Drosophila melanogaster: one gene and its partner. The protein of the gene in region 1 purifies or fractionates together with the protein of each later gene. This does not show direct contact. Each region holds a gene or a part of one and is shown on either strand. Other genes may lie near its edges.

Region 1 (5,990 bases):
AAATCTAAATTTTGTTTTTAAATAATTGGATTCTAATGAAAACCCATTAAATTGTTAATTCCAAGGTCAACGCATCTGCTTTACATAAAAAGCAAAACGGCATTACTTCTGTTACGATCTATACTGTTTAAATATGCATAATTGTAGAGGAGTTCTCCATTTGCGCAGCAGCTCGATTTACCATTACCCACCACACCCCACCCACCGACACCTTGAATTTATCGCGCCACGCTTTATCAGCGACGCCAGCAACATGCAAAACCACTTTAAAATAGATTGATTAATTAATTGGTATCTTTGCAGGGCTGCCGCGCCATGGTGCCCAAAACCGAGGACGCCGAGATCTTGGAGTGCATGCGGAATTACCAGTGGGGCCACTTGGCCATGACGTACACCAGTCTCGCAGTGCTGGTCACCCTGGGCGATGATTTGTCCCGACTGGATCGGAAAAGCATTGTGGACGGAGTGGCTGCTGTTCAGAAGCCTGAGGGCAGTTTTAGCGCCTGCATCGATGGCAGCGAGGATGATATGCGATTTGTTTATTGTGCCGCCACCATATGCTACATGCTGGACTACTGGGGCGATGTCAACAAGGAGACCATGTTTCAGTTCATCACTCGGAGCCTGCGATACGATTACGGTTTCAGCCAAGAGCTGGAGGGGGAGGCCCATGGCGGCACCACATTCTGTGCCTTGGCGGCGTTGCATCTTAGTGGACAACTGCATCGCCTGGATGCCACGACGGTGGAGCGAATGAAGCGTTGGCTCATTTTCCGCCAGATGGATGGATTCCAAGGACGCCCCAATAAGCCAGTGGATACTTGTTATTCCTTCTGGATTGGTGCATCGCTATGTATTCTGGACGGCTTCGAACTAACCGATTATGCCCGGAACCGAGAATTCATTCTGAGCACACAGGATAAGCTCATTGGGGGCTTTGCCAAGTGGCCGCAAGCCACGCCTGATCCGTTTCACACATACCTCGGTCTCTGCGGACTAGCTTTCACGGGTGAACCTGGGCTAAGCCCCGTGAATCCCAGTCTGAACATGTCCATGGCCGCCTACGCTCACCTGCAGCATCTGCATGAGCAGTGGCGGTCCGCAGATGGCCGAGGCGACGAGGATATTAGTGTAAGCTCTGCATTCAAGCAACAACTCCACCTGTCAAAGGGGGTCGAGGCGACATCCACAACAACTACCTCTAACTCGCCATTAATTTCAGCACAATGATGGGAAGCCGCACAAAGCACGAGGGGAAAGTTAAAGCACACTATTGTATTTATATTGGCCACATTTTAGCCACGCTTTTTATGCCCTTGCAGTTAGTATATTTATTTTATCGAAAAGTTTGTAGCGCAGTGGATGAGGCATTTGCGACCATATAAACTATATATCAGTATCACCAGCGGAGTCGATACGGCCATGTCCGTCTGTCAGTTTCTATGCCAAATAGTCTCTTAGTTTAGCAATCTGCATGAACGGGTCGTTGTTTTTAATCGGTATAAATGTTATAATTACTGCAAGGGTATATAAGTTTCGGCTTGCCGATTCTAGCTTACTTTCTGGTTTACATGTATTTTAATGCAAAAAGCTCGAGCTTTTGGAGAGAGAGATGAATAAGTTAGTATGTTTATTGTACAGCCTAAATTAATGTTAACAATGTGTAAGATTAAGCTTAAAAGTAAATTAAAGCGTCCCATGCTGAGGCATGTATTTACAGCAAAAGTATTGGATAGCCTCGAAAGCCTCCTTGGTACATTGGTAATATTGGCCCGGAATCAGAATTAATCTCAAACCTGCAGGAACAGGCGGTGATGTTGCACAGTTGGCATGTAGCCCATGCCGGGCCGATCGATGTGGACCCGTCCACGAAGTGGGGCGAGCACACGCTCGGTGACCAATGGGCAGCGCTGCACCATCAGTGACTGCAGCAGCGGGCAACTGGAGGTGAGGGCACTGCGGAAGAGGGAGAACGAAGTGTGGGCTAGTAAACAAGGAAATCGCTGGGATAGAAGTCGTTCAAGTTGTAAGCGTTGAGCCCCACATCCGGCTGTGGCCTATCGATGTAAAGACGCCGCTGGCGGAGCGGCGCCAGGGAGAGTTCTGTGACCCGCGGACAACGTCGAATGAGCAAGGTCCGTAGCCGCAAACAGTGCACTGTCAAAGCGCTGAAAATACGCAGATGCGGATGCAGATGGAGATTGGTTTCCCCAGAAACACACAGACACAAGGCACGCACAGGTTTACTGACAATATGACAACAGCTTTTAGGGATAACTACGAGTATTACTTACTGCACGCCATAGTCGGAGATAGCCGCACACCCGATCACGTTGATGTGCTCCAGTTCGCGGCAATAGTTCCCGATTTGGATGAGCACCTGATCGGTGACACTGGGCGTATTTGCCAGCGACAGGACGGTGAGCTTGTTAAGTTTCCTGAAGAAGATAATCAAGCAGCGCTCTCCAATTGCGCCGCAATAGGAGATGTCGAACTCCACCAGCTTGCTTTGGTGCAGCGTCAAAGCGTCCACTGCTCCCGTGGTCAGCCACTGGCACTTGGACAGCTTGAGTACGCGCAGCTCCTTGCACTCCACTATGATCGGCTGCAGCGAAAGGGCCGTGATGTTGACGCATTCGTTCAGGTTGACGGCCCACAGGCGTTTCTTGTTGTTGGCCAGCAGTGGCAGCAGCAGCTCATCTGTTAGCCATCGGCAGCAGGCCAGATGAAGCACCTCCAATCGTTGGCAACATCGGGCCAGCACTCGAAAGGCCACGTCGATATTCTTTGTGTTGTTCCCAGAGAGATGAAGTTCCTGCCTTTTTTCCAGCGCAGCCTCCACAAAGCGTTGTGCGGTACGGGAGCAGCAGCGCAGGTTGAAGAGATCCTTGAGCGACAGGTAGACGGCAACCTGCGGGATGAGCACATCGTCCCAGCAGACATCAAACAGCGATCGTGGTGCTGCAATGGAGGCGGTGACCAATGGCCTTGGACTGGCCGTACGCGTTGGTTGTCCTCCGCTGGCCATGGCCATCAGGTGAGCTTCCTCCTCGGGGTGCAGAGTGCACATGCTGCCGCCTCCGGTTACGTGATCTACGCACCAACAAAGCACTCCCAACTCAATCCTTTGGTGCACGGCAAAAACGTAATTAATTGTTTACTTGATAGCAATCAGCTGTTGCTTTGGCATTCACACAAAACTGCTACAAAAATTATTTGTGTAATCTTACGCCGTGGTTTCTACACACGAGTAAAATTTGTTTTACACTGCGTAAAACAAGTGTAGAACACATACATTTTGTTGGTGACCCCGATTTATATACTCTCGAAACGTATTGCTTTTAAAATGATCGATTTATTTAGAAAAATTAGTAAGAGATGCCAGTGTGGTCACGGATCCAGTCCAAGTGGTAGGTGACGCGCTGGAATCCAGCAGGAGCACCCGACTGGCAGCCGTTGGAGGAGACGAAGTTGCTAACTCCCACCAGCTTGGAGCCGTCGTGTGTGACAAGGGGACCGCCAGAGTCACCTCCGCAAATGGACTTGCCGTCGACGGTGCGGGTGCAGATGACGTTGTCGCCAACGCTGCCGTAGGTCCAGCCGCACTCTTCGTTGTGGACGATCTGGAGATCGACGCACTGCAGCCAGTCGGGCAGTGGGCTGCCGTCGTAGGTGCCACCCCATCCGCAAGCGACGGCCCACCATTCGTTGTAGTTGTTGTAACGGTCGTTGTAGCTGGGGAGCTCCACCTTGTTCACCATGTGCCAGAAGTCGACGTGGGGGATGCGGATCAGGGCGATATCAGCGTTGGAATGCTTGATGAAGTTGCCGTTGCCAACGGTGTGGGTGAACTGGGCGTTGGTGCGCCAGGTGGCACCGAAGTAAACGATCACGGAAGCGGCATCTCCGATGCAGTGCTCGGCAGTCAGGACCCAGTCGTGGGCGATGATGGAGCCACCGCACCACCAGCCTCCGCTGAAGCCAAGACCCACAGTGTAGGGAGCCTTACCCTCGGGGGCGGCGTATCCGTTGGTGATACGACCCTCAATCTTGGTGGCCTTGGGCAGGTCCTTTACGAAGACCTTCTCGTCGAAGGCGGAGGCCGAAGCCACGGCCAGAGCCAGGATAGCTAGGAACACCTTCATGCTGATGTTTATACTGGATTCTACTCTCGGATGGCAGCCTTTTATACACATTTTCAGCTAAAACCATATCTGCAACTCGAAAAGGGCTCGTAAATAATCCTCAAGACTCCCATAAACGATGTCATCGATAAGAATGGAGGAACCACTCTACCAAGCCAGTAGTAGAAATCAAAGAAACTCTAGGGGGGACTAGACCCCCCCCACTAGACTATATATATTTATATATATTATATTATTTTATTATTTACCATATATTAAGTATGCAGCAATAAACAGCCAAATTATTATCTATCTAAATGGAATAATATTTTGTGGCTAATCAAATATGTTTGTAGTTTTATTCATAATTATAAAATATATATTTGTCAACCTTTGCGCAGACCATTCTATCTTATCATCATTTTTCAGAACTTAAAATTTACAATGATCTTTGGACAGGAATGATTTTCAATAAAGTTGTTTGTTAACTTTTACATAAAATGTATGTCTGCTTTTTGTCCTGATAAGGATAATCTGTAATAATGGCTGGAGGTTTTCCGCTTGTTTTCAAATCTATTACTAACTGTTGCCAAGTTAGGCTGAAGGATTCTCGACTATTATTAATTTAATAGACAATTAATAAGAACAACAACAAACCAAAACTTGATGCACAAGTGTATGATAACCCTATATACTCACAGGTTTTTGATAACAAGAATTACAAGTGCTTAAAAATAAAATAGTTTACAATTATTGTTCAAGTGTAAACAAATGTTTGAAAGTGATAATAAAATAGGTGTTGGAAAAATGTTAAAAACTTGTGTGTTATTTTCATAAAAATGCTGATTGAACTTCTTTACAGCAAAATTGTCAAAATTACTAAAAAAGTTAGCTGTCATTGAAGATAAGATTAAATCTAGTACAAATCTGTAAATTATTATTTGCTTGCTATTATATATAGCTTTTGCTTAAAGTTTCTAAACTATCCAATCGTTTTAATACTTACAAAAATATATCCAAAATAAAACAGAAACAAAATATACATCTGTATTTAATATTCTAAGAAAAACTGAAATATAAATTATCATTATTTAAATGAAGGAAAATTTTATTTATTATAAACAAGTTAAACAAAATGGAGATTTTAGCCACATGCGTAAACCCTTTAATCTTATCGAAGGTAGGTCTGAAAAATAAACAAATCCCTCCAAATCAATTGATAGAAAACTGAGATAGTAAGAGAAATAAACTAGACTGGCACTAACAACAAATGAAATACGCAATTCTTTATAACTTATAACACTACTTATCTTTCTGATTTAATTTAAATATGAGGCTTAACATTTAATCATAAATAATAATAAATTGGAAACCATATCATTCGTATTCTATGAAAACATTCTATGAAGATATCGAAAATCAATCTAAACCATACAAAATCAAGTATCTTGATCCTTAAGATAATCCATTTTAGTTTCCCCATTCCTTAAATTTAAACTATCGAATTAAAAAACAATTATCTATTAAATGCAGAAGGGTTTATTTCGAGAACGAAATTAGTAGGAGATGCCAGTGTGGTCGCGGATCCAGTCCAGGTAGCTGGTGACGCGGGTGAAGCCATCGGGCAGGCCCGAGGTGCAGCCGCTGGCGGCCACAAAGGAGGTGACACCGACCAGCTTGGAGCGGTCGTGGAGGACCAGTGGGCCGCCAGAGTCGCCGGCGCAGGTGGACTTGCCGCCGGGGGTGGAGGTGCAGATGACGTTGTCGGTGATCACATCGGTTCCATAGACGCTGGAGCACTCGTCGCGGGTGATGATCTGGGAGTCCACGCAGTTCAGGTAGTCGGAGACGCCACAGCTATCGCAA
Region 2 (7,087 bases), 1.4 Mb from region 1:
TCTGGCCATGGCGTTCTGATACTCCTGACCCTTGCGGCTCACCTCCTGCAAAGTGGCCGCTGTTCCTTCCCGCATGCCACCGCCCATGCCACGGCCATTGCTGCCATTGTCCGAGGAATCAGAGGTAGGATCAGAGGTCAGCATGGGGCTGGAATCGCCACTGCCCTGTTTGGGGGGCGAGGTATTACTCTCATTATCCTCAGAGCTCTCCGACAGAGAGGCTTCGAACCAGAGGCTAAGTAGTTTTTGCAGAGTGCTCACATGCTGATCCTTGTAGATCAAAGCAATCAGTTGCACCATGGTCACTCCCCAGAAGGCTCTCTGCGGACAGGTCATCAGATACAGGAGTAACTTGTCGATGCTCTGGATGAAGAGATTCCACAAGATCGTGTTCTGCATGGAGATGCCATGCGGCATCGACTGCATCATGGGCATCACGCAATGGGCATGCGTCTCTGGAATGTGCAGGATATTTCTCAGCAGCAGCAGACAGTTGTTGATTTGATCGCATTTGTGCGGCGACAGCTTAGGGTCCGACTCCAGTATGTGTTTCATGTACTCCACCACGCTCTTGGTGCTCCTGGCCTCGGTAAATGCTTCCTTGCTGGTGTACAGCAGCTTGTTCAGCTCGAAGATGGTGTGGCGACCCACATCCGTGCGGTACATCACGTCCACGGAGAAGAGGCACTCCACCGGCACCGTCAGATTGACGAGTATCCGGATGACCGACTCCAGGACCGCATCATCCTTGGCATTCTCCAGCAGCGGTATCAGGTCTGACCTCACATTCTGGCCAAATCCAATGGCCCGTCGAAAGGTGCGCAGTGTTTGGTCCTCATAGGTGAGCTTGTAGTTGATCTCCTCCAGAATGGCTGGGGATTGAAAATAAGTTAAATACCTAATTAATGTAGTAGTCCTATATTGATTACTCACCCAATGCATTCGGGTTGACCACATAGGTATCGCCCTCCAAGCAACCCAAGGAGGAGAACGCGCTGTACAACTGCGGAGTTGCTAGTAACCAGTCCATAACCGATTTCACTTTATCAAAGTTCTGATTATTCCAGATGTGATTGTGGAGCTGCCTAACTCTGCTCATTGTCGACTGCGAACATTGAGGTACTTCTTAGCCATTTGCGCGGTATCTGTAACTATAAGTAAACAAAAATGTATATTTAATTGTTATTAAAACTTAAATATTCTTAACGTGGTACCAGAGGTGAATTTAAATAATATTACACATTTAAACTGAGATGTGAAATGGTGAAAAATTTATGGCATTTTTGTAAGCTGTAACAGTCACCTTAAAATATGTTAAGGTCACTAACCCATCGTCTTCCAGGGCATTACGCAACCACAAATGATTCCCATAAATATTTGCACTCGCAAACAAAATCGCCACCCATGTGACCATCAAGGGCGCAGTCCATGCAATGTGCTGCAATTGCAGCCGCTCGGGGATGAAACCCGAATCAACTCCCATTCCACATCACCTCACACACGTGTCCGCACAGCACGTCTCCCATTTACCACCCGTTGCGAGTCGAATCAAGGAAACTGCCTACCAGACGAGCCCCGAAAGTTCCCAGAAGCCACACTTGCCAGTCCGGAAAGTGAAAAAGTGGGCTGGATTGGCAAACACCACCACCCCCCCCCCCCACACAGGGGGGAGCCCAACCTTCAGCCATCACGTAACGAGGCAAATCCTCAACAGGCGACTGCGGCACCCGGTGGCCGCATGTGACTCACTTGCAGACATCCGGGCTGATTGTGTAAACAACACAGTTGGAGGACAAAGCCACTGGGTTCGCAAACGGACTACGGACTACGGGACTCCGGAGGAACAAAGCCTGCAGTCGGAAAAGCCGACCACCCGTAGCGATATTTATAGGACATGAATCGGGATGCAGGATTTGGCATTTGTGCGGCTTCCAGCCTGCTGACTTTGAATGTTTCGTGCTATATTTGGCCATTAAAGCGAATGCAGTTTAGTTGCATTGGTTTTCGTTGCCCTCTTTTGGGCGAACACGTTAAATGGCACGCTAAATGGCCAAGAGCGGAAAATAAACAGCGCAAACAGTTGAGAAAATTTTAAAATTACAAAGCCATTTATGGCCTAGCTGATTTACTATAAAATTGTTTTAAAATGTAATAATGCTCAATAGGAAATTATATCTAAGAAGGGAGATTTAATTGTGTGTAAATTGAGGGACAATAAATTATGGACATTTTATAGAAAATATTAAAAAATATAATTAATAAGAAAACAGTGATATCTAAGAGAAAAAAAATAAAAATACTTTTCTTTTAAATTTTACTTAGATATTTCTACTGAAACTAATATCGAATTTTGTTGGTCGAGCATAATTTTTGCACCATCCGAAATCATAGATCATCTGAGCATCTTTGTATCTGTGAAACGTTTCTAGCAACCCCAATACCATTTCCGCTGACTGGTTATGAAATCAAAGACCCAACTTACATAAAACGCAAGGCGAGAACTACAAAATGATATGCGCATTGAAATTTCGAGCTGAGTATCTACTTTTCTTGGAGAGTGAAAACAATTTTCATTCTTTCGCAAAGGGGAAATTCATTGAAGCGAGGTTGAATTTGCATTTGAAACGGAAAGCAAAGATAGATCACGAATAAATATTTAAGATTTGAATTTGCAATGCAAATACATCTGAGGGTCGTTAAAATCCTAGCTAAACGAGCAGAAACCACTGAACATCTGTGTGCCAGGATGAAATCTGTCAGTTTCAGGACGATTCCCGTACTTATTTCGCTATCCTGTTTCTGACAGGAATTCCGTGGAAGGCCAAGCCTCCTTTTTTGACAGTTCACTGCGTGCTTTTTACATAAGAATTGTAACGGAGAATTGTTGTGCTTCGTAAATTGCCCCTTTAACTTGTTTTCATTTTCCCAGTATTATGTGATTTCGTTTTCATGTGGAAATGGGTTTTCTTTCTGTGCAAGCTTTAATTGCTTGAATATGTCGCCGCTTAAAGCTACTTTTTAGAAAGCTTTGTTAAAGTGTAATTTTGTCAGGGGTCAACTGATAACGAACTGTGTTAGGTCAGGTCTAAGCTATGTAATGTTAAATATACTAGTGGTTTATATTTCTTACCAATTATTTAAATTTTTTCTATCGCAGACAATTTTACTGTTTTAGTTTTAGCCGAATTGCAATCAACAATTAAAGCTGATTGTTTATGTTTCTAAGCAATTGAGCTTTTCTGAGCACTTTTTGGGTTTCTTTGCAGAATAGATCGTGTTATAGTTTCAGTGCTGTTATATACACTGATGAAATTATTTTTGTTTTATATCTGAAAGTAGTTTTAAGAATATTTGTTAGGGTAAATTCAGTTTTTTTGGTAATATTAAGATTTTAACCACTCATGAAAAATTTGTTAAGGATTTGCAATTTTATTTAACACTTTGTGAACTTTGCTTTGTTAACACTGCACAAAAAATTCTTTATACTCGTTGTTGGCTTATGTAAAATGCAACTTCAATAGCAATTAATTTGCACTTTTTTCGATTGCAATCTAGGCTAAACACTGAGAGAAAGACCAGTGAGTCATGTAAGCACTCTCTTTAAGATTATTGATATGTGAATTAATAAATATTATTGCATGAATTCACAAAAGTATTCAAGATTATTTTAGCAAAATATCTTTATTAAATTTTCTTTATTTAAGAGATATTTATTTTCGAAACTTCTATTTTGTTGATAAACTTCGAACCGCTCAACGAACCGCTTACTTGGAACGCACAATGCTGAATGCGATCTGAGTTACGGCTAGCTCACCGAAGTCAGATACAAAATGCATCTCACAGATACACACACTGACCGAAACACCCACTCACACAGGGCCAACGTGCCGCTGCCGGCGTTTGTGCGAACGAAAGACGCTAGCCGAAAGCTCTCGCCGCGCTGCTCCGTCCCGCTCGCACTCAATGCCGGACGGCCGGGGAAATCGGCTCACGTGTAATCACAACGTGCCGCACGTTTATTTGCCAACCGCCACTACGATGTTCGATAACATGAATAACCAGCGCCGGAAAATACGGAGAACAGTCTGGGAACAACAGCAATAGTCAGAACGTTTCTGTGCACTCAAAAAAAAAAAGTGTGTCACTTTACCAAATGGTATCTTCAATAACGAGACTTCACTTTACTTTAATACTTTACTTTACTTTATTTAATAAATGTATATATTTAGTGTGCAAAATAATTAATATAAATGATTTCAAAACTACGTTTTTTTTTGATTATACAACACTCACGTTTATATGTATATAATATATTCAATGACATATTTTGTTACATACATAAATATTATATTATTTTGTCTGCTGCTGTACTGTATTCCTCACAGACGTTTCACATTAAAACCAATATTTTTTTCAGTGTAAAGTTAAACGTTTTTGACGCCGCCTTCGAACGACTCTGCCGTAGGCTTCGTCAGGGTGACATTGTTCGGCTCTGAGTGCCTCAGATGATCCGTTGAATAATCCTTTTGGGAACGGAATCAACAGTTGGTTGCAGGCGCGGGCACACGCGGCGTATACGCACCGGGCTCATTGAATGCGTATACTGTGGGGAGCGTATATATTTACTTTGAGTGTTTCCACGGTGGCGCGAGCTGCAGCACGTCGGCACCGAATCGCGGTGGTAAATCGACTGGAAACGGAGGTTTAGGAAAATACTTTTGCTCGGACTGGGGCGATAGAAATAAATAACTGACACTCTCATTTTACGAAGTCACTCACTCACAATAGGCGATTTGACGTCAAAATGTTATTCAACCCAGACTATCAAATTCTATTATTTCAATAAGAAGATTAGTTGTCACAAAAAAAAGAAACAAATTAATAATGCTGTTAATTAGATGGTTAGACTTTTGTAAAAGGTGACAATCTAACTATATTTTTAATATAAAGGAGCAGATTTTGATTGAATACATTTCAACTATGAATTAATTTTTTTATTTTTTGCAAATAATATTTAAGTTATATATCCATTGCTGCAAAGTGAATGGAGAAAAACGAAAGTGCCAATGTAAGAACATAGCATTGATTAGACCACTTCAGCCGATCCGCCCAAAGTTTCCACTCAACGTAAGTTGTGCGATCACTTCGCCAATGCCAAGGCTATGCAAGTACATACATCTGAATTATGCAACGCCTGATGTTAATTTCTGTAAGCTAATTTATCACTAAGCAAACACAACAATGGCGGAGTCCGTTCAGCGGCAAAGTAAGCCACGCCAATGCACAAAAACTTGTCCCTACGTATACGTAATGCAAGTAATTGCGTATACGCCGCATGTAACACATGAACGGTGGACAGTCACGATGAAAGTTGGCTGATAAGCCTCCCAATCAAAAGCAAAACAATTAGATGCGATGCCCACTCCATCCCTCACAAACGGCCAAGGACTCGTGCAGCCCGACACATCCTCTTAACGTGGCCAAGTAGACTCATTTCCAACAACGCGACATGCGCCGGCGAAGTGTGCGATATCCTGGAGGGTCGCGTGTTTGAAATGCTGGCTGCGTGCTGGCAACGTGTGCGAATCCTTCTATTGAAGCGGCGCATTATGAAATGGTTCCATCGGATTGGTTGGCATCGTTTGATAATTTTTTATTGCGGGTATTTGAAATACATCTAGTCAAAGCAATCGCATAGGAAGAAATTGATTTCAAACTATGTTAACTGTGCAGGATATACGAATCTAGACACCACTGTGCTCCTTGATCCAATCCCGTGCGAAACTTACTCTTGAGTAGACACCCGGATAGTCGGGCTTAGCGCAACCGTAGCCCCAGCTAACCACGCCCACCAGCTCGCCCGATTCACTGACCATCGGACCGCCGGAATCGCCTTGGCACGCATCCTTTCCGCCTTCCAGAAATCCAGCACAGATCATTCGCTCGGTGACGCCGCCGTACTGTTTGTACTTCTCGCTGCAAAGCTCCTGATTGACCAGAGGCACCTCCACCTGACGCAGCCACTCGCGGGACTCCAGCAGGTTCTGGGTGTTGCCCCAACCACTCACGAAGCAAGCTTCCCCGTCCATGTATTTCATCTGAGACTCGGGCAGCTTGACCGCCTTTTTGGTCTCGTCAAACTTGATGGGATGAGCTAGCTGAAGCAGCGAGAAATCGTAGTCCACATTGGTGTAGTTGAACTGGGCGTGCTGCACGATCTTCTGCACCCGCAGAAGTTGGCCACTGCGAGCAAATTCGCTGGTTCCGAGTCGCACTTTCAGGCGATCTGCCGTTTTACCACTACGAAATCAGGAGGAATCATTTTTGGCATACTCTCTAGAGAAGATTCCTTGAGCGGCTTACTTACTATGTGCAATGGGCGGCAGTCAATATCCACTCCTCGGATATAATAGAACCGCCGCAAATATGGGACGAAGTCTGCAGCGAAACCTGATGTGGTGCATCGGTGATGTTGATGCGGTGACCGCCCACAATACGGCCATCCAGGCGGGGTGATAGCTTCCAGGGATTCTTTATAACATCCTCAAGCGATCGCTGCCTCTTAACGGGCTGTGGTATTAAACAAACGCCAGCCAGAACCAACAGGCTGCACTGCAGCAGTACAAACAAGCGGAGAGCCAACATGGTTGTTTAACATAAACCGAAGGTATTCAATGGCCTAAGGCAGAGTAAAACCTTATATAGGAATGCTTTTCTTGGATTAGTGATAGCCACCCAGTGGGTAGAAGACCCGCTGTGCCATCACTGCGCAGCTTATCCACCAGCTGACACACAAAATGCTCGGAACACATTCATTTCGGGGTGGCATTGGACACACTCTCATTTAAGAAGTCACTTGGTTTCCTCGATGTTTCAGAATAAAGTCGTTATCTTTCAGTTAGCATTCAATTGTTTAATTGGGTCACTTGTAATGCCCCATGAAACAGTCATTGTAAAAGGTTTCAAGTTCAGTCGGAGTCACATAAGGTAACTTAAATGGTTCAGCAGCTAACTTAGGAATATATCGTATACCATAATCTATCGTAAGTTAAATTGGGCACAACCAACTCACAGTACATTTTAATAG

Evidence for each region.
Region 2: the proteins of jet (region 1) and tim purify together in Drosophila melanogaster (affinity purification with western blotting, with the first as the bait; 2 studies listed by BioGRID). This does not show direct contact.

What each region holds. Positions count from the first base shown.
Region 1 is NT_033779.5:4,946,604-4,952,593, forward strand, and holds jet (jetlag), read right to left. Parts: upstream 3,182-5,990; 5' UTR 3,071-3,181; coding exon 2,295-3,070; intron 2,169-2,294; coding exon 1,985-2,168; 3' UTR 1,957-1,984; coding exon of another isoform or gene 1,791-1,956; 3' UTR 1,603-1,790; downstream 1-1,602. Other genes in the region: betaggt-I (beta subunit of type I geranylgeranyl transferase), read left to right, coding at 304-1,230; Jon25Biii (jonah 25Biii), read right to left, coding at 3,369-4,145; Jon25Bii (jonah 25Bii), read right to left, coding at 5,681-5,990.
Region 2 is NT_033779.5:3,503,428-3,510,514, forward strand, and holds the start of tim (timeless), read right to left. Parts: upstream 3,792-7,087; 5' UTR 3,769-3,791; exon of another isoform or gene 3,762-3,768; intron 3,330-3,761; 5' UTR 3,131-3,329; intron 1,152-3,130; 5' UTR 1,100-1,151; coding exon 934-1,099; intron 873-933; coding exon 1-872. Other genes in the region: CG31954 (uncharacterized protein), read right to left, coding at 5,745-6,300, 6,368-6,645. UniProt on the Drosophila melanogaster protein: Required for the production of circadian rhythms. The biological cycle depends on the rhythmic formation and nuclear localization of the TIM-PER complex. Light induces the degradation of TIM, which promotes elimination of PER.